4 linked regions of the Schizosaccharomyces pombe genome follow. Each later gene encodes a partner of the first gene's protein in a complex. Each region holds a gene or a part of one and is shown on either strand. Other genes may lie near its edges. The genes, in order: mrpl16, mrx14, mrpl40 and mrpl27.

Region 1 (6,324 bases):
AGCAACCAGATATAACATTGCAATAAGGCTTGAAGCAGGAATAATTGTGATCTTTAAAAGAACACATAAAGAGAAAAAAACTTTTTTAATGATCAATATCAAGACACTACGTAAAAGAACCAGCACTTGCAACGAAAAAAAATTTTTTAATAGATATACATGCGAAACATATATACAATGCAAGCCAAGAAGAGAGGAGTTAAATTTTTAAAATTGGGGCTAATAATCACTTCCAATTTAAGCAGACGCTTCTTTGGTGATTCTATCAGCATCACTCAAGTCAGCATGGTATTCACGTAGAACACGATCAACATCATCCATGGCTAAAGTACGGACATCAGCCAATTTCTTGATGCGAACGGTAAGTTCCTTGGCTTGGGCATCAGTAAGATGAAGGTTAAGCTGCTCAGCACGAGATTTGATGGCATTCCAACCAGTCAAACGAGAGCCAACATGAACATAACGACTCATGCCAAAGTCCTCGGGCTTAAGAATTTCATATGTAGAAGGGTTAGCGAGAATAGCTTTAGCATGGATACCAGCCTTATGGGTAAAAGCACACATTCCGGTAATGTAATTGTTGAAAGGAATTTGAACTTCAACGGCATCAGCGACAAGGTTTTCAAGCTCACGTAACTGGTTAAGCTTGTATTTGTGGGTAATGTATTCCCTATCGGTGACATACATACGAGCCAACAAGGCACCAAGAGGAGTAATACCATTACGCTCACCAATACCAAGAATGGAAGTATCGATATGGGTAGCACCAGCTTCCAATGCGCAATAGGCATTAGCAATAGCCATACCAGTGTCATTGTGAAAATGACATTCAATATCACAAGAGACAACACCACGTAAGGTACGAATAAGATCGTAGACTTGGCGAGGAGTAGCGCAACCAACGGTGTCAGCAATACCAACACGGTTGACGCCAATCTTGTCTACAGCCTTGTAGAGAGAAAGGAGATCGACAAGATCAGAACGGAAAGAATCCTCAGATGAAAAGCGGACTTCAATACCCTTGCTCTTGACAAAGTTGATAACTTCGGTAGCGCTGTCAATAATGTAAGTCATGTCCTTTCCATGGGAATATTTGCGAAGATATTGAGAAGTTCCGATAACAACATCAACACCATCAACTCCAGTCTCAACAGCGACACGAGCGTCATCCATATGACAGCGAATATGAGTTAAAATTTTACACTTTAAGCCCAATTTGCAAATAGCTTCGCAATCTTGGCGGGACTGCTCAGAAGCCACGGGAGAAGTCAATTCAATGTAATCGACACCAAAGTTGTCCAATGCCTTAGCAATTTGAATTTTCTTCTCGGTGTCGAAAAAAGCGTTTGCGAATTGCTCACCTTCACGAAGAGTAGACTCAATAATGGAAAAGTTATTGACACGTGAAAGAAAATCAGATGGGTTGGGACCATAAGGGTTTCCATTCATAGGAGGCTTGATGGTCTCAGTACCATTAGCTTCGGACACAGACATGTTGATGACTTTAAAATGCAAAAAAAGGAAAAGGAAAAGCGAATTTTCTAAAATGAATTAAGTATAAATATATAAATTATACAATTCAACAACTTATTGTCCCGAAACCTGTTAGCTTTGAATTTTTTAAGCTAAATCTTTTATCACTGTAGAGGAGACAACTAAGAGCAAGGATGCACGTATGTATGAATTTCAAAAAATTCGACCCTACCCTATTTATTTACTGAAAGAAACAGTCACTACCAACTCGTAGGCAACCGCGGTAATTTATGGTAGAAAATTGATTTACAGATCCCGATCGATCTTGATGAGATTTAATCAGATCTATGGTAGTAATGATTAAGTTACTGATCCACTCAACAGTGGATTGCTAAGCTAGGTTCTAGAAGGTATAGTGATTTTTTTTGTAAACGTTGTAAATATTTTAGTGGAGTTGATTTGAATAATTTCATTCGTAATTCCATAGTAAAATCAGTTTCATATTATTTAAAGTGTACTTTTTGATTCACTTCATGATTTCGCACATATACAACGTGCCGTTTTTTACATCCCGAAAAAAAGTCCCCAACGGAGCAGAGAGCAGCAAATAAGATTTTCGCCAAAAACACTCATTACCGTTACCAACTTTTCAGGACCAAAGAAATTTGATGTTTTAACGAAATTGCCGAGCCGTAATCAAAGTGAATCAAAAGTGGTTCATATTTCGCCAACAAAAATTAAGCAACTCTCTCATTGGGGATGAAAGTTCCCATTTCGAAAATAGATAATGAAACATAGCGCAAAATGTACAATGTTTTAAGGCATTTCTGGCAAATTTCATTCACTAAAACATAGAATAACTACAACGATTGAAAAGAAGCTCATGAATGTCTGTACAAAGATGCAGCATTAAGTTCACAAACTAAGTAAGTGAGAAGTATGACAGAAAAGTAATTATTGAATGGGTTAAAAATAGATAAATTCAGCTTAACTTTTCCCTTAAACAGCTGTAGTAGTACTGGTAATTTCCTGATAGTTCATTTTGCTTGTCTCGGTGGTAATGGGGGTTTCATGAATCAGTGTGGTACCCAATCTTTTGGGGGTTTGCTTGACGATAATCTCATACTTGCCTGGAAGGTGAAAAGCGGCTTGCTTCAATGCATGCTCAGCTAACTCTTTACGCATTCCATCACCACCAATTTCAAAAAGTACACGACCGATTGGTATCCGTGCAGCCCAGTATTCAAAAGCTCCTTTGCCTTTGCCCATACGAGTTTCATTTCCTTTTACGCATACTGGCACATTGCAACAAAAACGTGTGTATACCCGAGCAGCCTTGATAGGTTTTAATATACGCTTGAGAATCTGTTCGGCAGTTTCGAGTTGCTTGGCATGAAATCTTATACTTCGATCTTTTAATCGCATACCATATTCTCCCCATTCAAGTTGAGTACCACGTAGTGAACCTCCTATGGGTATAGGGACTCTTCCTTTCTGAGCTTTTTGGTTTCTGATGCTTCTGGGTGCATACTGGTGTCCCCAACGAACCATCGTTTGGATAGGCGGCATTTGTAAACCATTCAACCTCGTAGGTCCTAAAATACCAGAAAAAAAGAAAGGAAATTTATTGTATTGTTGTAAAGCCATATTATATAAGTTTTTATGTTGTGAGGGTTTCAAAAAGTCATAAAACAACGTGTTTTTATTATCATGCAAAAGTCGTTCTTTAAAGTTACTCAGAAATATTCAAAATAATCAAATTTAAGTATTATATTTCTTTTTTTATGGGAAAATGGTAACAATAGTAACGATAATAGGCCTGCTATTTTTTGTATGAGAAGGGGGTTAAAGGATACTTGGATTCTGTATGTGTTGCTGCCACTTATCCTAACTAAGTTCCGGGAAGAAGCCGGACAATAACTGAACATTAGCTATAATTATTTATTTGTTTGTTTATTAGTTTGTAAAAAAAAAAAAAAAAATTATCTTAAGCATTAGGCAAAAAAGATTATTTTCATAGATACTGAATTTAACGTGCGTTTTATGCTCAACACATTATTTGATTCAGCATCATCATTTCAATGACAACAATGCGTGAATAGAAATAAAACAGTGACTATTTTAGCTATTTCAAATAATATACTTAGCTCATTTCTTGTCAAGGAATTCTTGTCCTTGAAGAATAACAAAACGTTCAACTGTTTAGTGCCTCAGTATTGGTATTTGGAATGTTAAGACTGTCTTAAAAAAATCTTCTGATGTACGTTTATAAACCATTAGAAGGATCCTCTATCGAGCTAAACATTATTGTATGGACAATCGAACGTAAGAATGCCAAGCGCAACTCTTTTGTCCCCTGTAGCAAGAACTTGCTCACATCATGATTATAAAAAAAACAAAAAATGGGATTAGGAAATTATGAAGGATCTGCTAAAATCTTGCGCATTGATCTACGTATCGCGGGAAAAGAAGAATTGTTCTGCAAAGCGTGAATAGCCTGATATTCCCAGTTTTCTAACGTCTTTTGAGCAGCTTCCTTCTTTAATGAATTTGTATATGATTGGGATAAAGACGCTGTTCTCGTAGAAAACGTCGACGAAGAACTAGTTGTTGACATACTTTAATAAATATTCCGAATGGACACAACCTTGAAGACTTGCCAATTCGAATTTCTCTGATTTTACTGATTCTTGCTGTAAAAAGTCTTAAAAAATTCCAATAAGCTATAACACGCTTGATTGTTCAAGCAAAGGATTTGAGTTATTTGTAGAAATAGAAATGTGCTTACTCGCCATAGTTATGAACATCGCCATGTTAGTCTAGGTCTCGAAGAGAAATCGTTATTTCATGTTACGTATAACATCAAAGTTCGTTATTGATTATTTCTTATATCATTACATCATATACCTTTGTAATGCTTAACTGTAAAGTAAGCTTATTTACAGTACGAAGCAGTTAGCAAAAGAGAAGTACATTTTTATAAAATCAATCATGCGTAAATGGATTAAATTCGGGTTTCACAGTAATAATTTATCATTTTTTGAAGCTCTAACCCCTACGGTTCAACTATTTACAATCTAATCTCGACCTTAAAAAAACAAATATGCCTCAATAAAAAAAAAAAATTTCTTACATTTAGCCGGTTTTTATTTTTAAAGATAAATAGTATCAATATTAAAAGCACTTGATTGCGAGACATGAATTACAAAATGTATAATATTCAATTTCATTAGCTCGTATAGCGATTTTGCGTTTAAGAAACTTCGAAAAGGTTTTTTTAAAAAAATTAAAATAAAAACAAAGAAAAATCAAATAAGCTCATCAGTTGCAATCGGGTATTAAAAATAGAGCAACAAGTTAAAATGAAGGAATAAAAGCAAATTACTCATTAGGTAAGGGATCCAAACTCAACAAAAAGAAAATTAAAACTACTAAAATACAAACCAAAAACAAAAAAGTCAAATATGCACAACGAATACAGACATTAGGTGCTTCTCAAACGAGAAAGATTCACGTTACCACCCCTTGCCTCAAGGAGCTTCTGATAATTTAATAGACTAATCGTGATTGCAGGATTTCCATCGGGTTGTTGAGCTTCATAGTTTAGCAAAAGCTCGATCGCCTTCATAGCGTCTTTAGTGGTAATCTGGAATTCAGTAGATTCTTCTTCGTCCGTCTCGAAAGCGCGATCATCCATGTACTGCGAAGCAATTTGATTGATTATATCCTCAGAGGAATCAACAATATTCTCTTCTGAAGGACTTATAAAATCCTCTATACGCATAGCAGCTTGAACAGAAAACTCTGAGACGAGCTCACGAAGTGGATGAATCATTTCATCCAAGGCACGCGAGGTAACGGCAGATTCATTGAATAGACCAAGAACACCGGAAAGATTGAAGGCATTTTCAATAATTTCTGGTGATATGTCTGTCGTCCATGCTTTCACCAACCATAAAATAGCTCTTAAAACATTAGTAGTATTATAGGGATTGCGTCCCAACTCATTTTGTTCCAATATATATTGAACCCAGTGTTTGCGATAGCATGCTTTTAGAGCATAGATCACACCCTCACTACAAGGCTGGGAAATAGAGGCTGAAGTAGATGGTAAAGTAATTACAGTTGTATTTCTGAGGTCATTACCAGAGTTTCGAATGTTTTCAACAGCACGCAAATGTGGAGTATAGCTATCAATAAGAAGTATGACTTTGCGACCTTCCATACACGCATCAAACCAACGTAGCCATTCCTCCATTATAGCTGTGGTCATGGATGCCTTACCATTACTTCTCCATTTGAAATTCATTACTTCGGGTTTTACATTAGCAGCCCGAAACACTCTGGGAGATTGTGAGTATCCAATAACCCATAAAGGCAAACGTTCGGTTCCCGAAGCATTACAACACACGGTTAGTGTAATACGAGCTTTGAATCGAGTAATACCTTTTATATCTTCGACTTCGGGAGTGCCATTTGGAACCAATTTCCAAAAAAGACCGGTCTCTTGCATTGTGAAGATATCATTAATATTCGTTAATCGCGTGACATCGTAAACACGAGAGAGAGGATCATTAGGTGGTTCCGTATTATTCAAAACCACAGACTCGGTGGGTTGTTCATTAATTGCATGAAGTATATGGCGCTTCCTGAAACCTTCCAACCATCCATTGCTAAAGTTCGGAACCGGTTGATCTTGATACTCGGGAATTTTGTGCCAAAGAATAGCGGCGGCTCTCTTAATTGTTTCACCGGAAAGTGTAGCATCGTCACCCTGTTGAACTTGCCATTCAAATAAAGCGGCCTCTAAAAGAGGGTATTTCGGTGGTCTGTTACGTTTCACGTCCCATG
Region 2 (6,286 bases), 300 kb from region 1:
GACACTAGTGACACGTAAATTTGAGCAATATTTTTGAACTGGTGCATTCTTTATTTTCAAGATATTAAAGGTTGACAGGGTTTCCTAAATTCTTTGAAACACCTCTTTTAGTAGCTGCTATACACATTTATTGAACAATTCCTATTTTCTTTATCAGGTTTGCCAGTGTTTTCAATCGAAAATACCCATTGTAATTAGTTTATTTATTTTTTTGATTCTTGATAAGGAAATGCTCTTCTGAAAGTCAATAATTGGTGAACATGATTAGTTTTTCTCACTGGAATTCTCACATACGTTCGGGACTTAGTCTAAGCATGATTCCTTCTGCAAACTCTCGTTTTGCTTTCATTATTCAAAGAAATTATATTCCTGTCGTTAACTCGCAGAACACAAGATGGAAAAGGTTATGCGGGACACAGTCAGTTTGGTCACCATACAAAAAAAAGCACGTACTGGTTAATCGATTGAAGCATATATCTTTATTCCCCAAACCTATATTTGCAAGAAAGTTTACAACCCGACAAAAAAGTGAAGACCAGAAGCAATGGAGGATACTAAGGATTACATTTCTTGTCCTCCCTTTTACGGTCGGAGGATTATGGATTTTATACAGAGTCAAAAATCGAAAGAATAATATTTTCTCCTTTGACGAACTTGAATTAGAAGAGAGAAGCAATCGACCTCGTTCTATTTTTGGAAAAATAAAACAATTTTTTAATATTCTCCTCAGGTCATTTAATTTATTTATTATTTTCTCTCCAATTATTATTACCTTACCGTTTATCGCTCTTATTTCTTTCCTGCATCTTCGATCTTTGTCGTCTTTAACCGTATCCATTTGGCTTCGTTTCCTCGTTACTCAATTAGAAAGAGCAGGAGCAACGTTTATCAAGGTACGTTTTGAATTTACGCTTATCATGTTACTAACATTATTTTTTTATTTTGCAGTTGGGACAATGGGCTGCTTCACGGACAGATTTGTTTCCTCCTGCTTTCTGTAAAACACTGTCCAAATTACATTCACATGTAACGCCCCACAGCCTTGCCTATACTCAATCAGTCATCTGCAAGACTTATAAAGTGGAATCTATCGAGGAAATTTTTGTTAATTTTAACCCAATACCTATAGGTGTTGGAGCAATTGCTCAAGTCTATACGGCTACCATCAAGAAAGCAGCTACGCAGCAAGATAATTCCTACTTTACAAGTATGCTACAATCTATAGGGTTTCGACAGAAAAATATCTCTGATGCGCCAGTGACTCAAGATGTAGCCATTAAAGTTTTGCACCCGAATGTTGAAAAATACATTTCTTTAGACTTACAAATCTTAGGTTTCTTCGCAAAATTAATTAATTTGGTACCTTCAATGAAGTGGCTTTCTCTGCCCGACGAAGTTAAGGTATTTGGGGCAATGTTAAACCAGCAATTGAATTTACATTATGAGGCGCTTCATCTCAACCAGTTCCGTCTTAACTTTAGAGGAAATAGATATGTTGAATTTCCAGCTCCCTATGATGATTACACGACTAATCAAATCCTACTAGAAGACTATATGCCGGGTATCCCATTAAGCGCGTTCCTCAAACATAAGTCAGGACCATTTAACAAGTTGTTAGCTAACACAGGAAATAATGCATTATTTCAAATGCTTATTGTTGACAACTTTACACATGCTGATCTTCATCCGGGTAATGTCCTTGTTAAATTTTACAAAGGAATCCCTAAAACAATCTTTAATCAAGATAATGAGATTAATGACTCAATTTATAAAATTCTAAGTACATGTTCGACGGAGGAATGGGATTCTGCTATGGAAGAATTAAACATCTTGGGCTATCGACCGACTTTAGTATTTTTGGATGCTGGATTAGTAACGAAACTTAGTACGCAGGATCAGAAAAATTTTTTGGATCTGTTTCAAGCCGTACTTACTTTCCATGGCTATGAGGCTGGACTGTTGATGGTTGAAAGGAGCAGGCAGACAGAACGCGTTATAAACAAAGACATATTTGCTCTTAAAATGGAACATTTGTTGAATGAAATTCAAAAGAGCACGCTTTCACTGAAATCACTTCAAATAGGAACTATATTACAAGAAGTAATGACTATGGCGAGAGAGCATCATGTTCGAATTGAAGCAAATTTCGCAAATACTGTGCTATCTATCCTTTTAGTTGAAGGCGCTGGACGCCAACTATATCCAGAAATGGATCTATTAAGTAATGCTACACCATATCTTCGTTCTGCTTCATCGAAATCCAATGTCTCACTCACAAACCCAATGGTTCAATTATGGATAGCTTTAGAAGCTAGACAATTTTTGCTTTTAAGCACCTCTAAAGAAACGGTAGAAAAGTGGGTTAAGTCCGATATGATCGCACCCAATATATAAAAAAATTACGGTTTATTTTATAAATGATGGAAAATTGTTCATGAAAAATATAGTCGCAGACATGGAAAATAAATTTTATAAACTCGTGTTTTAAAGAAGTTATTAAAGTTCAAAGTTCAACAAGTAAAATTAAACAAAGAACCAATGGAAAGAAAATGTATCACAAACTAGAAAGCATTACTTAAATGAAGAATTGATAGAGGTTACTAATGCAAATTAGAGCCCATTAAAAGATAATATGTACTCAATGGCTCAGATACATCCTCCCTTTTTGTCTTCGATCTCGTAAAACACGACGACCGTTAACAGAACGAATTCGAGATAAAAATCCGTGTTTTCTTTTACGCTTTCTATTTGAGGGTTGATACTCGTTTCCATACGTTTTCCAACGCACTTGCTGCATTTGACCGAAGATGTTCATAGTCGGTAAAGAACTGTATAAAGTAGCGGTATTAAAAGGGTTTCTTGTCGGAAACCCTCTCATAGTTCCTCCTCCAGCTAATATTGAAATATTCCTGGCTCCCTTCATGGCAGGATGCAACAAATTTCGAAATTGTTGCATAAACATCATAAAGCAATAGGAATGAAAGCAGGTGACTGGATTTCAAGAGAAAAAATTTCAAAAAATAATATAAAAATTATATATGAACGTAAATGTGCAAAATGAAGAGATTTGAGATGTGATGGAGTAGCTGGTTATTAGAAAGGTTGAAGTGAATCAGTGTAGCACCGTTTGACATTCGAAGTGTTAAATTTCAAATATTTGTGTTACAATAAATTAAAATCTTTGCTAAAATCCAATAACTACGTTTTAATAGTTTCATTCAATTCACTGGAATGTCGGTAATATAATAATAATACTATTATTATTAATAAATAGTTCATTAACCATTCTTTATACGCCCTTAAAGAAAGCAACCTGAACCCCTAAAATTTGATATCGCTTTTGCTTTTTCCCAACAAATAATTGGCATGAGATTACCAAATAGTAAAATCCATCAGTTTAATGAATTCGATTCATGGGCTAAAAGTGATAATTTATAGTACAAAAAAGGTTTTAGCAGTTAAATGACATCTTATACTTTCTTTTATCTATTTTATTTTATTAATAATACCCAGTATTTTAAATTGGAAGCAAATTGCTGCAGTCCCGGCTTTTTAAATATTGAAAGCATATTAAATATACTCATATATGGGAGCATCAATACATTAAATTTATCAAAAGTTATTATTTTTTTTTGTTTTTACGTGACATAATAAAATGGAGAAAAGGAGCTCTAATCTGCTATTTAAAATATTTGTTAAAAAAAAGGCATCGACGATGAGAATTTAGCGTATTGTTCTGCATTGCGATATTTCTTTAAACATAGGGGTTCACGAAAGTACAGCCTCTGCCACCGTCTTTTAGGGGACTTTATTGTCATTGTGAAAGTACAGAAAAATAAGTGTTGGATTTTCTAGGAACTAAAAAATGGATTATCAAAACCGCGCAGGTGTTCGTTTTGGAGGAGGAGGCGTTGCTGGCTATCAAGAAACAAATGCTGCACGTAGAGAGCGTCTTCGTAAATTGGCGCTAGAAACCATTGATTTATCAAAGGTATGTTTAAAAACCACTGAATTCTGAAAATTTGAGTGCTGAATGTCAATTATAATTACCGATGAATTAATCGTGTAAAGTAAGACATGTACGTATGTTACATATTATTGAAGTTTATTAGTAGTTGCTGTTAAATTCGCTAACTATAACAACTAAAATAACAACAATAATAAATGAAAAGGATTTGCTTTCTACTTCCTTGTTTGCTGTTTTGCATGTTACACTAATTGGACATCTTTTTTTTACCCTGTCAATCACCTTGAAGCTTCCTCCTCAAACTCTTTGCGATGATATTTCTATTGCTAATCTCTTATAGGATCCATATTTGATGAAAAATCATTTAGGCACTTTTGAATGTCGTCTTTGCCTCACTACACATGCGAATGAAAACTCTTACCTTACCCATACACAAGGTAAAAAACACCAGACAAATTTAGCCAGGAGACAGGCTCTCGAAAATAAAAAGTCTCAAGAGAATGCACCACAAGTGTTGTTGGGCATTTCTCAATCCCATGTCCAGGTTAAAAAAAGTGTCGTAAAAATTGGTCGACCCGGTTATAAAGTGTCCAAAATAAGAGAAGCCGAAAGCGGAAAATTTGGCCTACGTTTCCAAATAAAGTATCCAGATATTGAAGTGAACGCTAAGCCAAGATACAGAATTATGAGTGCTTATGAACAGCGTGTTGAAGCTCCTGACCGAAAGTTTCAGTATCTGGTAGTGGCTGCTGAACCATACGAATCAATAGCCTTTAAAATTGGTATGTTGGTTTTACTGATTTTTTATTTATATTAACTTTGTTGCGCAGATGCTCACGAAATAGATCGTGCACCCGGGAAATTTTGGAGTTATTGGGATGCACCTACATATACTATCCAATTCTTTTACAACTTAACAAAAATATCGTAAATTTTGAGCTGCTATCCTAAATTTCCTTTTTATGAAACAAAATGTCTTTTCCAAATATTTCGCTCAGTCTCCCAATTTATCAATACCGCAGTTCTTTATGTGTGTAAAAGAATTCGAACTCAATCATTCTGAATTGTTTCTCCACACGTGAATTGTAGAAGAACCGTGCTAGCTAAACCTATTTTGGTGATTTATATACTTATTTTCCCAGATTTGTGGAAGTACCAATTGATAAAGTTGGCTAACTTCTACTGTATGGCGTTCGATAAATTAGCAAATGTCGCTACAGTGGACGCGATTTTTGCGATATCTAGCTCAACTTTCCTTTGGTCTACATGGGTTCTACAACGGACAATATTAAAACGGCCTAATTTTTTTTCTCCAAACCCAGTTGTTGAGAAAATGGTGCATCCAACTTTGATTACTTGGAAATTGTTTTCATTTACATCAGTATTAACTGTTTCAACCTTTACCTTCGCTTCCTGTTTGATAATGCGAACAATTGGTGTTGAAAATATAAAAGAATTTGGTCTTTATGCTCGAGAAAAGCTTAGTTTTGCAAGAGCAAAGCCAGTTAAGGATGACATTACCAGCTTTCCTAATCACAAAATTAGTATCACTTAAATTGTATACTATAAAAAGTAATTACGTGTTTATTTTACACTTTTTAAAATGTACACGGCTTCCCTCTTTCAGTCAAGTCATGATACCGTTATATGAATATTCTATAAATTAATGGGAATCCCTTTATAAAAGTCACAAAAAGCTATGCGTTTATCATAAATGATTGTATATGGCTTCATTGCAGGCAATGAACATAAGCCTCCAAATTCCTGAGTCCATGAGCTTTGGGAAAATTACTTAAGAATGAGTAATTTGTCATTTTTGAAACTTGGCTTGTAGCCAGCAACGGTACATCTTGACTCTTTTTTTTCGGTTTACAATAAGCCTAGTATGGAGATTAGTTCAGATTCGCAAAGCCGTTTGAAAATTTACCTTTTGTCAACTCCATTTTGAATAATTTTGAAATTTTTTCCAAAAACATCCACTAGTTCTTCTATTGCAAAGTTAGTAATCATTAAGGACTAATAATAGTTTTCGTTGACTTTACCGTTTGTCATGTAATACACTCTTGTACCATCACCTCTTATGTAAAAATTTTCACTTAAAATTCTGTTCTTTTTAGCTCTTAGCTGCGTCAAATCTAAACGACCATAGTCACGAAATAAAATTAATCCTCCAGGCTTTAATAATCGATACAAGTTTTCTATAGCTTGTTGCCATTGATCGGGGGACAATGCTGAAAAACAGAAAATGAGTGTAATCGCATCAATAGACGCTTCTTCAATGGATCTTAGTAAGTCTGATCCTGCCAGATCCCAAACCGA
Region 3 (5,774 bases), on another chromosome or scaffold:
CACCTTAATATCGAAAAATATAGAACTAACTTTTACAAAGTTATTGACAGGGATGAACAAAAGCATGAATATACCGGCAATGGCTCGTATCACTCAGCAATTCGAGCGTGAAAATGAAATTATGGAACAGAGACAAGAAATGATTGATGAAAATATGGACGATGCTTTAGAAGAAGATGACGAAGAGGAAGCTGATGAACTTGTCAATAAAGTGTTGGATGAAATTGGAGTCGATTTGTCTCAAGGATTGCCAGATGCTGCGACCCAAATTGGTACGGTACCGGAGTTAAAGACTGAAGACAATTTACAAGCCAGATTGGATGAACTGGCAAAGCGTTAATTTTCGCACAAGAGATTAATGGACTTTAAAGATCTTGATTTGTATAGATTTTCTACATTGATTAGTAAAAGTTTTTCTAGGTTAACGTGTAAACTTCAAATACTTCACTTTCATTGAAATCACTTATCACTTACTCTACTAAGTTAAATATATTTAAGTTTCTTGAAAAATTTTTTAGAAGAGTTTACAAAAGTTTATTAAGCTTTATAACCTAGAGATTGTGAATCATTATGTAATGTTATAAAAAAATGCTTGCAACGACCAAACATCGTTTTTGTTTTAATCACTGTAAGTATTAGGAGAGATGGGTTTTTTTATTAAATCTTCAGCAGCAGTCTCTGCTCGGACAAGATCTTTAGCAATTTCAGTAAAATCATCATTGTTCTTTTTATATCCCCATATACGATCTAAACGGCGAGACCAATTGGCTCGTAAATCGCCAATTGCAAACGGAGGAAGAGGAGGCTCCGATAAGCTAGGAGACCAAGTAACTTTACTAACTACTGGATTCTTAGTATCGAGTTTACCTTCGGGATCTTTAGGCTTATCTTCAGTCTTGGGACGAGGAAGATGAATAGTATGAATTTGTACTCCTTCAATATTAGGCCGAATAATGGACCGGAGATTAGTTGAGGAATGCTTTTTAAGCTTAACTGGAATAAGAACTGGTTCCCCGGCGTCAGTCTTTGCATGCGCAAGAAGACGCACATTTGCATAATGTACTTCGTGAGCAATATCAATTACTGGATCTTGGTTATCTTCAGGCTTATTTCGCAAAAGAAAAATTGGTACTTTGACGGATCTCACATTAACCCCCTCTATGGTAATACCGTTTGTGTATTTGTTTGTCTCAACAACACGGCCCCATTTTCCTTTCAGAGGTCCTTGATGAACATATACATAATCCCCTTTAAAAATATGCCAGAAAGGGACTCTGTCAGCTGGCTTTCCAAACGGTAACTCGGGTTTAGCGGATTTATCGTCTTTAACAGTTGGATCAGATTTATTGAGGTGTTCGCGTATTTTGGTTCGCATATGCAACGGTAAAGGCTTTTTCATTTTTAAGACGTTAGTACCAGGGCCTCGGAGCCTTGGAATTAATTTACGCAAGTCTCTCATTCTGCTCAAAAAGTTTTATAATATTTAAATAACTAACGGTGGTACATCACTTGTACAGAGGAATTTACTACGCTGTAATGTTGGAACGAAAGTAAAACCTCTAGACAGGATAAATATGGCCAAATATAAGAGAAAAAATAAGAATGCTATGAAACAGTAATGTGTATCCTGCTGGTAGTTTGCAGTTGTTATTTGAGTACTCTCTTCGTCAATAAGTAAAGAAATGGATCATTGTTACACAAAGGCAACTTTGCGATACGTGGTTAAGTTTCATTATTTAAAATTTGCTTTTGCTTTTGCACGCAATATTCTACAGCTTCGACATCGTTAACCAACATTAAAATGATGTGTACTCGTTAAGACAATGTCATTCTATCTATTTGTTTATAAGTTTAAAATTGAAAATGTTAAGCGAAATCGTATAGAAACGCTTCGCAAGTGGTTGTGTTAATATACTAGGATGTAAGATTGAAGTTTTGTCGGATAACTCAAACTTAGTCGATACTTCTATTGTTTTCTACTTTTTTTTTAGTATTTGCTGAATTTAGGTAATAATTTTTAAAAGCCTAATATCATTCGTGATTTGTAAACTGGTTTAGAAAACCCGACAAATAACTTGCACTTATATTAAATATTTAACCATAAGGTTTTCCAAGATTATGTTAACATCCGAAAAATGATTGGAACCATCCTTTTGCCTTTCAGGCTCGCAAATATCAAATTTTTGTTTAATTTTCAGATAAATCTAAATACCGATATATAGTGTATGGATTGTTAACCTGTTTAACAGATTTAGGCGTTGGATTAAAACACTATAATTAGAGAAGGTGAGAATAACAAAAAATAATCCAAAAAAGTACCCATCTTGAGCAAAATGGTTATTAGTCAACCTGTTGGACAAATTCGTCTAACCAATGTGTCCGTTGTAAAATATAAGAAAGGAGGGAAAAGATTTGAAGTTGCTTGTTATAAAAATAAAGTTACAGAATGGAGAAACAAAATGTATGCATGATTTCATTAAATTAAGCTACTGTAATTAGTGAGAGTCAGCCTTTGCTACAGATAAATATTCTTTAAGATCAGCAGAAAATTATAACAAGCTATCTTTTTGAATTCACGTGTCTTGTCGACTGGTGTCAACAACTCAATAACTCGTACAATTTTTTTTGATCAAAACCATAGCTAACCAAGTTTAGTGAAACAGATCTGGATGAAGTTTTACAAATCCACAATGTGTTTAACAATGTTTCTAAAGGACATGTAGCTAGCCGACAGGATTTGAAAAAGGCTTTTGGTACAGATGATATAGATAAAATTATTTTAGAAATTTTGCAAAAAGGAGATTTTCAAGTAGGTGAAAAGGAAAGACATCATCAAATGTCTTCAACTTATCGCGATATTGTCTCCCATGTTACTGCGATGTGCATGGATCCTAATTCTAAACGACCTTATCCAGCATCTATAATTGAAAAAGCATTATCTGATTGTGGCTTTTCTGTCTCTACCAGTAAAACTGCAAAGTCCCAAGCTCTGGAAGCTATTAAGAAATTGCAAGAAAAAAACGAAATTCCTATCGTCCGTGCGCGTATGCGCATCAGAATAGTGGTGGATGTCAAACAGGGAAAAGCTTTACGAGAGCGTTTACGCTCTTTAGCTGATGAAATTGAAGAAGAAAACATTGATGATGAATATGAGTGCATAGCTCTCGTGATTCCAGGGAATTATAAGTTGATAGATGAACTTGTCCGAAATGAGACCAAAAACCGAGGTATGGTTCAAGTACTCGACATGAGCGAGGCTAGGACTTAAAAAGGTATACAAATAACCTTTCTGAAAATACGCTCTATATGAATTCCCTAATCTGTTTTCCTCCTCCTTTTTGCTTACATTGTTCATTGGCTTTTGGTTTTGAAAAATTTTGCTATTAAAAGACACGTTCTGATTCGTTCTGGTTATCCAGAACATTATTTAATTTATCAATATAGCAATTCAGTTCAGAAGAAAGTAAAAAGAAAGTAAAGAAATGAAATTAAAAGACTATCGTCCCTTTCATTTCTGCTAGTTCCATTCAAAGCACGCATTCAAATGTGAAAATGAAAGTAGCGTGAGTGATTTGTAGAATGTTGAACCCTTACCACAATGCTTTCAGTTGTTCAACAATTTAATGATGAGGATATCTATAGTGTACGATTTCGGATTGTAATATCACCTATTTACAAACAGTAATTGTAACTAAAGTATACATTTTGCTTAACAGCAGTGTGATATAATACTGCGTTAATACTTTTAAGCAAATTTGACGAAATTCGTAGCATGTTCTTCAGATTCGGTATTTTGCGACATGGAATTGGATTGTGCAATAAGTTTTTGAGACTTCAAACCCATCGTATACTTTTTTTTAACTCTCTTTTATTTGTACTTAAGTTGCTCATTCTTATCTCAATTTTTTTTAGTTGCAATTTTTTGTAAGGATTTAAATTATTTCATTCTTAAATTTTAAATTTTGAGAGATTATACGCAACTTATTAAAATGGGGAAGATTAAAAACAAAATTGTCCGCCAACAGCAGTATATGAAGGCTCTTCATCAAAAAAATAAGGACAAGCTTGAAAGAAGAAAAGAACGTGCTAAAGAAGAAGAAAAAGACCCGGAAAAGAAGAGATTGCGACTTTCAGAAAATATTCCCGCTACTATTGAATCGAAACGAGTTTATGATGAAACTATCATAGAGGATAAACCCGATGAGGAACTTCAGGCGGAGTTAAAAGATGATGAGTTTTCTGCATACTTTAGTGAAGAAAGGAAAGTTCCGAAACTTTTGGTAACCACGAGTAAACGAGCCTCTAGAAAATGCTATGATTTTGCATCTGAGCTTTTAGATTGTTTTCCTAATGCTGAATTTCGAAAAAGAACCGGAGATATTGAAGTTCATGAAATCGCAGAAGCCGCTGCTAAGCGTGGTTACACCGATTTACTGGTATTAAATGAGGATCGTAAAAAAACAAATGCATTAACCCTTGTACACTTACCGAATGGCCCTTCGTTCTATTTTACCTTATCGAATCTCCAAACAGCAAAGGAAATTTCAAATCATGGCCGCTCCACTGGTCATATTCCAGAACTGATAATCAACAATTTCTCAACGAGACTTGGTATGACTGTTGCTCGAGCCTTTCAATCATTATTTATTCAAACGCCTCAAATTCAAGGGCGACAAGTTGTTACCATCCATTGTCAAAGAGATTTTCTTTTTTTTCGAAGACACCGTTATGCATTTCGTGAAAAATCGAATATGCCAGATGGTATTGGAACTGGGCTACAAGAATTAGGTCCTCGATTTACCATGCGTCTTCGTATGGTTCAAAAAGGAGTATGGGATAGGAAAGAAGGGGAGGTTTTCTTCGAGAGCAATGCCGGTGAAGAATCAGATAGACGTAAATTCTGGCTTTAAAGACATTTTGTCTCATCTGCGACACGTTGTAAAAAGAAAACAGTGTTTGGGTCATATTTTATTGTTTTCGAGGTAGGGTTTGGGTTTGGTAACAATTCTAAATTTTTGGTTAAAAAAGAAAGCATGGCCTTTCATTTTGTATCATTCGTTTACGGTGAAATTGGGAATGAATAATATGATACATGTAGACTAGAAACTAGGAGACATAATTCTTTAATTCAATTATTGGTTTATTTAAAAATCCTAATTAGATTATACTTGCTCGTAATTAGTGATACATTTTTTTATATACTTGAACTTGTCTATAACACTTTCGAGCACTACCGAAGATATTAATTATACTCATAAAAGGCGCTCGCCTATTTAGAAAGCCGTGGTGGTGTGTCCGTAGGAGTCCTCGTTTCTACGGGGAACCTCCTGTTAATTGAATCGCTCATTGCGGCTTTATATAATGTTTCACTCGTATGCTTCAGTTCCTCGCAAGCAATTTTCATTGCAGAGAATTGGTTTTTTAGAAGATTCTCTCTTTGTTTTTCTTGTCGATATTCGTGTATACGCCAAGCGCGATTAATAACTTCGTGTTTTTCCCACATGTCTGGATTCATTTTCAAAGACCTGACTTTTTTATTTCCGTAAAGAGCTTTTCTAACCAAATCGATTGACTCACTATGATTAGAAGGACCAGATTGGTGCTTTCCCTTTGAGGCCTTAGCCATTAATTGTAACGTAGAACGCATCTGCCAAAAAACTTTTCAACACAAACTAAAGTACTCCTTGAATTTTTTCACGTTGATAGAAAAAAATTTAATTTTCAAAAGTATTAACATAAAACCTTCCTTTAAAAGCTAAAAAACCTGAGTAGAG
Region 4 (5,097 bases), on another chromosome or scaffold:
GTAAGATCACCGTCTTGAATATTCAATGGATCAAGTGAGCGTAATCCCGGATGTTGTTCCTCATTCGAAGATCTAAAGTCGAGAGCAGCAAGCAACGAAGGACGCACAATGGGGCCCGATGACTGACTTAGCACACGGTTAGAATGAGTGTTGTTTTTGTGAATAAAATCATGGACATGGGAATGTTGATATGAGGAATACGAATTTGAAGGGTCATTATCGTTAATGTAATGTATTTTTTGGGTCTTTCTAGATGCTTGGGCAGGCAAGAGAAATGCCTCTTCGGATAATTCAGAATCCGTGCTACTATAGGAATCCGAGTCATCGAAAGAATTTAAAACCGGTGAGTAGACTGGAAGGGAGACAGGCAAATAATTCTCATCAGTGATTACCACGCTAACACCAGAGCTACCAGAGAAAAAGACGAAAAGAACGTAGAGTAGATAATAAAGTATCATTACGAGACTCTGCCAAATACTCAACGAACCATCATGCAAAACAAACATTATAACAAGTAAAATAGTACCGGTAAGGAAAGCAACATCCCGAAGGAAGTGACGCCGAGGTATTTTAAATGGCTTTATTAAACATACGCTGCCAGCAACTATGGCTACGATGAAGAATGCAGAGCCCAAAAGTTCCCCAATAGCCATTCCCCCACTGTTGACACGTACAGCAGCGAACGTACTAAGAATATCAGGAGATCCATTGCCTAAAGCAAGAAAAGTAACGCCAACCACAGAATCGGGCAATTGAAGTAGCCACGAAATAGTAACCAAATTGGTACTAAAAAAATCACTAGCAGAAATTCCGATAGTTATGAAAAGGAAAATCAGCCATCCCACAATTATTGATAACACTGGGAATCGGAGACTGTTAATGGTACAAAAATAAAATTCAACGTAATCAAAGAACCCACTAGCCTCTCCCTTACAGTAAGCCTTTGCAAACCGACATTGATTAGCAGGGGTAATGTTTTTGATATCATTGCATGTAAGTAAAATTTGGTCGTTGCTATCATTTAAGGTATTTCCGCGCTCAAAAAGATGGACGGTTGAGTCCGAAGTCGAGGATACTGAAGCAAACGCTTTGCTAATCCGATGAGTCCAGAATAAAATGTAGGCAATGCCAAGGATACACCAAAGTAATATTAGTCTGTATTTCTTCAAGAAACATGAAGTTTTCGACATTTTTATACCTGATATCCAAGATATAGAAAATCCATGCTTAAACCGCATTGCTAGGTATTAGCAGCCCTTTTTTTTCTAAGATAGATGGGATGAAAAAGACTAATCCTATAATAAATATATAAATGCGCAGTACTCAAGATTGCCCCCAATTTTGGCAGAAAAAGTAAGAATGTAACTAGTATATTTAATAGAAGCAAACGTCACAACAGAATATCGATAAATATACGTGTCCGTAAACAATAAATAACAACAGTCAACGCAACATAAGGTATCGTAACGTAGAAATTTCTCCTTTCAAAGTGTATGCCCAATCATTAACAGATAGAATAAAGCAACAGTTGAAAAGGGTACCAAAATTTTTCAAAACAATAAAGAATGAGGCTGATAAACATACTAGCTATGAGCAAGATCAAAATACACAGCTCCATCCAACCCATTTGCACCTTCAGGATAAGTTCCTTTAGTGGCTTGAATTCGACGAGAAACAAAAGGCAAAAGCTTTGAAAGTTAATATAAAACAATATTCATTAATTTACAACATACCTCACAATCACCAGAAGGAGGCACAAACGTGCGAACACGCGACCACTGGACAAGAAAACCTCCATGCCTGGTTTTTTGACCCATTTTCCCAGTTCTTGTACCCTTGTAATACTGATGACCCAACTTTGTGGTCATTGGCAAGCGTCTTGCTCCAAAACATAATAATGATTGATGCATTTTGAATAACTCTCGATTTGGGTAAATGGAGGGTTTAAGTTGGCGCGTTTTCCGTCATAAAAGAAAAGGTAACGGTATAAGGTAACAGTCAAAGCGAAACATAGAATGTAAACAATAAAAATATTTGTTTAAAACGAACAAACGAATTACATTATGAAACTAAAAAATGAAATAAGTACGAAAAACTATTTTTTTTTCAACATTTAAATGAGCTTTCTTGTTGTTTATCTTTCTGCACAGTTCAATGAAAACAAGTACGGTTAATCTACAATTAAACGCCTCAAAATATGCCTTTAAAAATTTTAGTTATTAAAATCAGTTATTAAAAAATACTGTTACATCTCCCATTTCATTACTCGTTTGAGCCGATTTCCAACAGATAAATATATATTAAGTGTCCGTTCACGTTCGCGTTATTTATAACGAAATACGATGAGTTGTGGAATAAAGTGTTAAAGCTTTTGTTAAATGGCATTACGATTTATAGTGATGCTTAATGTACAGAACGTGGACAAAACCCTCGTAAGCATCAACATCTTACTTCTTCTTCAGCTAGTCGGCTGAAAACGTTGGCATAATGAATCAGCCAGAACGGTATGAGCTCATTGAGCTTATGGGACTCCCCAAGTAAGGAATAAACAATTTTACAAGGAATTGCATTAACCAGTGTAGAGTCACATATGAGCTCGATAGCAAATCACCTAATGCCGCAGTAGTTACTCTTGAAAAAGAGGATCATACATTGGCTAATATGCTTGCAAAGTAAGACTTCTAAATTTTTTTTTCTTTTCTAACTGCTTTTTCGAAGTCAACTCCTATCTGACGAAAGGGTTCTTTTTGCTGGTTACAAAGTTCCTCATCCATTAAATCACAATTTCATACTTCGTGTACAAACCGTAGAAGATTGTTCTCCAAAGCAGGTTATTGTTGATGCTGCTAAGTCCCTTATTACTCATCTGGAAGAAATCAAAGTTAATTTTATGCGTGAATGGGAGTTGAAAATGATATCTGTTGAAGGCGTTGAAATGGAGTTTTCCTAAAATCCACGGCTGCTTTTTCTCTAATATTTATTAGAGTTTTGTTTCAAAAAATACAGAATACCCTCTGTATGCATCTTTATTACAAAAATTTTGACTTTCGTTTTCGCAACTTCTGTAATTTGGACCGAAGTCGTATTAAAAGGGAAAATAAAAGTTTCTTTCTTTTTTGAAAACAGATGCTTTAAAAAAGGTGAAAGTTCTCCGATCTTTTATTGTATATGCTTCTTCATAAACCAACTAGAAAACTGCAGCAATGGCGATGAAAGTTTTTCTAGGTACCTGGATTATTCTCTGATATTGCTTTTTTTTTCAAAGTTGAATTTTGCTGAATGTAATCGAAGTGATTAATTTCCTACAGTAGGGCAGAGCATCGATTCTTACATTCAATCTTAAAAGAAATAAATTAATTAATGTTGTACTATTACAATTTATGTCATTGAATTATTCACAATCATCATTTTCTCTCCAAATGCTTTGCTTCAATTGCATTACGAAATTTGTTTATTCCTGTATTAGTTATTATTATAGAATACTTTTTGGATATGTAAGTAATTATATTTTCTTAAAATATACGATAAATATTCTTGCATAAATTAATGATACCCTATGCTTTGCACATATGCTCCATCTGCGTATCAGTTTTATAACGTCCGAATATCGCTAATAGTAAACGCTCCTATTACATTGTGACGAAAAGTTTGAAACTTTGTTCAATTTTTGATTATGAGCTCTAAATTATTTCAAAATAAGCTGTTATTAGCAGGGATTGGGGGATTTATGGTAGGCGGTCTAGCTTCTTGGGTTGTTTCCAGTGATGCCTATACAGCATATCATCGACTACCAGCAAGTGCGAAACATATTTCTGAAATTTCGAAATCGCCTGAAGCTGTTCAAATGATTGATAACATTTATCGCGAACGTCAACGCAGCATGAAAATGGAGGAGCATCCGTCCTTGCTTCAATCTAAGTATCCTTCCAATTTTCTTTCCTTTAAAGATGGATTGATACCTGTATTTAAAACATTTTATGACCCCGAACATGAAGAATGGATCAGCATTGGACTCATGGGTAAGGCTTTGACAGGATATCAGAAACTGGCTCATGGGGGCGCCATTGCAACTTTATTGATCGAGTCTCTTGAGACTGTTCGGAATCTTAGATCATCGCAAGCAAATTCACAATCAACACAGCCTCGGGACCCTATTCCTACTGAAAACTTCGATGTGCGTACTCCCAGTTATAGCATAAACTACAAAAAGCCTGTGCCTGCTGGAGACTGGGTAATCGTTCGAGTTAAAGACGATGTTGCACGATTATACAATTCTAAAAGTCAGCTGTTAGCTGAAGCTTTGGATTTACAATCGTAGTCATTGTTAAATGCCATTTATGATATTAAAACTGCAAACCTTAACCTTCTAATGATCATACGAAAACAATGATATTTTGTTACTTGGATTTGTTGTGATTACAATTCCAAAAATGCTTTTACTTAACGTGACTGCATTAACAGATTAAACCAGAGACAAAGGTCTCTTTTATGAAATAGATACAATCTCTTTGAGATCTATGTCTCAAGTGCTATATCCAATTAGTTAGTTATCTACTGTGTACTAAATAGTAAATTTTCTATAACAGTTAGTAATTGAACGTCAAGTCCTAGCCAAGAGAAGCATGTTTTGAGTCGTTCCATATAGCATAAAACTTTTATTTGCTTGGAATAAAAGTATAAGTACAGTAACCAAGACATTGAAACAAGATTTGGCAATCGCAATTAATATTTTTCAATTGATCCACAGAAAAATTAAGGATTAAAAATAAGCAATTACCGGATACATTCTCAATTTACACTTTAGGCAAATATTCCTCTTCGAGTATTAACCACGTTTTTGTAAATCGAGACTTTGGCAACAGGTTATTGTATTCGAAACATAACTGATTCCATAATTAAGTAATTTTTCAAAAAACGCAGAAGCTTTGATGGAATTAAGGGAGTAGAAAAAAAAAACGATTCGAGATTTCTGTAAAAGATTTCAATTACTGGAACATCCTACTCGTAAAACCGAAATTTAAAAAAATTAAAAGCGTGCTTCAATTATATCCCAAATAATTATAAAATATGGACCCTATTAAATTGGTTTTTCTTTTT

The links.
Region 2: mrpl16 (region 1) and mrx14 share a complex: the UniProt entries of both Schizosaccharomyces pombe proteins name them as parts of the mitochondrial large ribosomal subunit.
Region 3: mrpl16 (region 1) and mrpl40 share a complex: the UniProt entries of both Schizosaccharomyces pombe proteins name them as parts of the mitochondrial large ribosomal subunit.
Region 4: mrpl16 (region 1) and mrpl27 share a complex: the UniProt entries of both Schizosaccharomyces pombe proteins name them as parts of the mitochondrial large ribosomal subunit.

Annotation. Positions count from the first base shown.
Region 1 is NC_003423.3:3,505,814-3,512,137, forward strand, and holds mrpl16 (mitochondrial 54S ribosomal protein uL16m), read right to left. Parts: upstream 3,321-6,324; 5' UTR 3,121-3,320; coding exon 2,473-3,120; 3' UTR 1,710-2,472; downstream 1-1,709. Other genes in the region: lys4 (homocitrate synthase), read right to left, coding at 238-1,494; protein tam12, read right to left, coding at 3,890-4,090; ARS-binding protein Cbp1, read right to left, coding at 4,958-6,324. UniProt on the Schizosaccharomyces pombe protein: Component of the mitochondrial ribosome (mitoribosome), a dedicated translation machinery responsible for the synthesis of mitochondrial genome-encoded proteins, including at least some of the essential transmembrane subunits of the mitochondrial respiratory chain.
Region 2 is NC_003423.3:3,801,937-3,808,222, forward strand, and holds mrx14 (mitochondrial 54S ribosomal protein bL34m), read right to left. Parts: upstream 3,093-6,286; 5' UTR 2,966-3,092; coding exon 2,639-2,965; 3' UTR 2,395-2,638; downstream 1-2,394. Other genes in the region: cqd1 (ABC1 kinase family protein ), read left to right, coding at 261-893, 949-2,394; U2 snRNP-associated protein Sap62, read left to right, coding at 3,866-3,991, 4,308-4,749, 4,813-4,898; SPOM_SPBC21C3.06 (uncharacterized protein), read left to right, coding at 5,154-5,522; trm140 (tRNA (cytosine) methyltransferase), read right to left, coding at 5,778-5,847, 5,895-5,955, 6,010-6,286. UniProt on the Schizosaccharomyces pombe protein: Component of the mitochondrial ribosome (mitoribosome), a dedicated translation machinery responsible for the synthesis of mitochondrial genome-encoded proteins, including at least some of the essential transmembrane subunits of the mitochondrial respiratory chain.
Region 3 is NC_003424.3:2,669,665-2,675,438, reverse strand, and holds mrpl40 (mitochondrial 54S ribosomal protein uL24m), read right to left. Parts: upstream 1,647-5,774; 5' UTR 1,460-1,646; coding exon 620-1,459; 3' UTR 501-619; downstream 1-500. Other genes in the region: ESCRT III complex subunit Did4, read left to right, coding at 41-340; SBDS family ribosome maturation protein Sdo1, read left to right, coding at 2,334-2,461, 2,656-3,268; Brix domain-containing protein Rpf1, read left to right, coding at 3,990-4,910; mrpl28 (mitochondrial 54S ribosomal protein mL40), read right to left, coding at 5,270-5,626. UniProt on the Schizosaccharomyces pombe protein: Component of the mitochondrial ribosome (mitoribosome), a dedicated translation machinery responsible for the synthesis of mitochondrial genome-encoded proteins, including at least some of the essential transmembrane subunits of the mitochondrial respiratory chain.
Region 4 is NC_003424.3:1,431,466-1,436,562, forward strand, and holds mrpl27 (mitochondrial ribosomal protein subunit L27), read right to left. Parts: upstream 1,934-5,097; 5' UTR 1,911-1,933; coding exon 1,734-1,910; exon of another isoform or gene 1,689-1,733; coding exon 1,584-1,688; 3' UTR 1,308-1,583; downstream 1-1,307. Other genes in the region: SPOM_SPAC3A12.06C (sodium/calcium exchanger), read right to left, coding at 1-1,190; DNA-directed RNA polymerase II complex subunit Rpb11, read left to right, coding at 2,488-2,537, 2,583-2,672, 2,719-2,950; SPOM_SPAC3A12.08 (uncharacterized protein), read left to right, coding at 3,674-4,318. UniProt on the Schizosaccharomyces pombe protein: Component of the mitochondrial ribosome (mitoribosome), a dedicated translation machinery responsible for the synthesis of mitochondrial genome-encoded proteins, including at least some of the essential transmembrane subunits of the mitochondrial respiratory chain.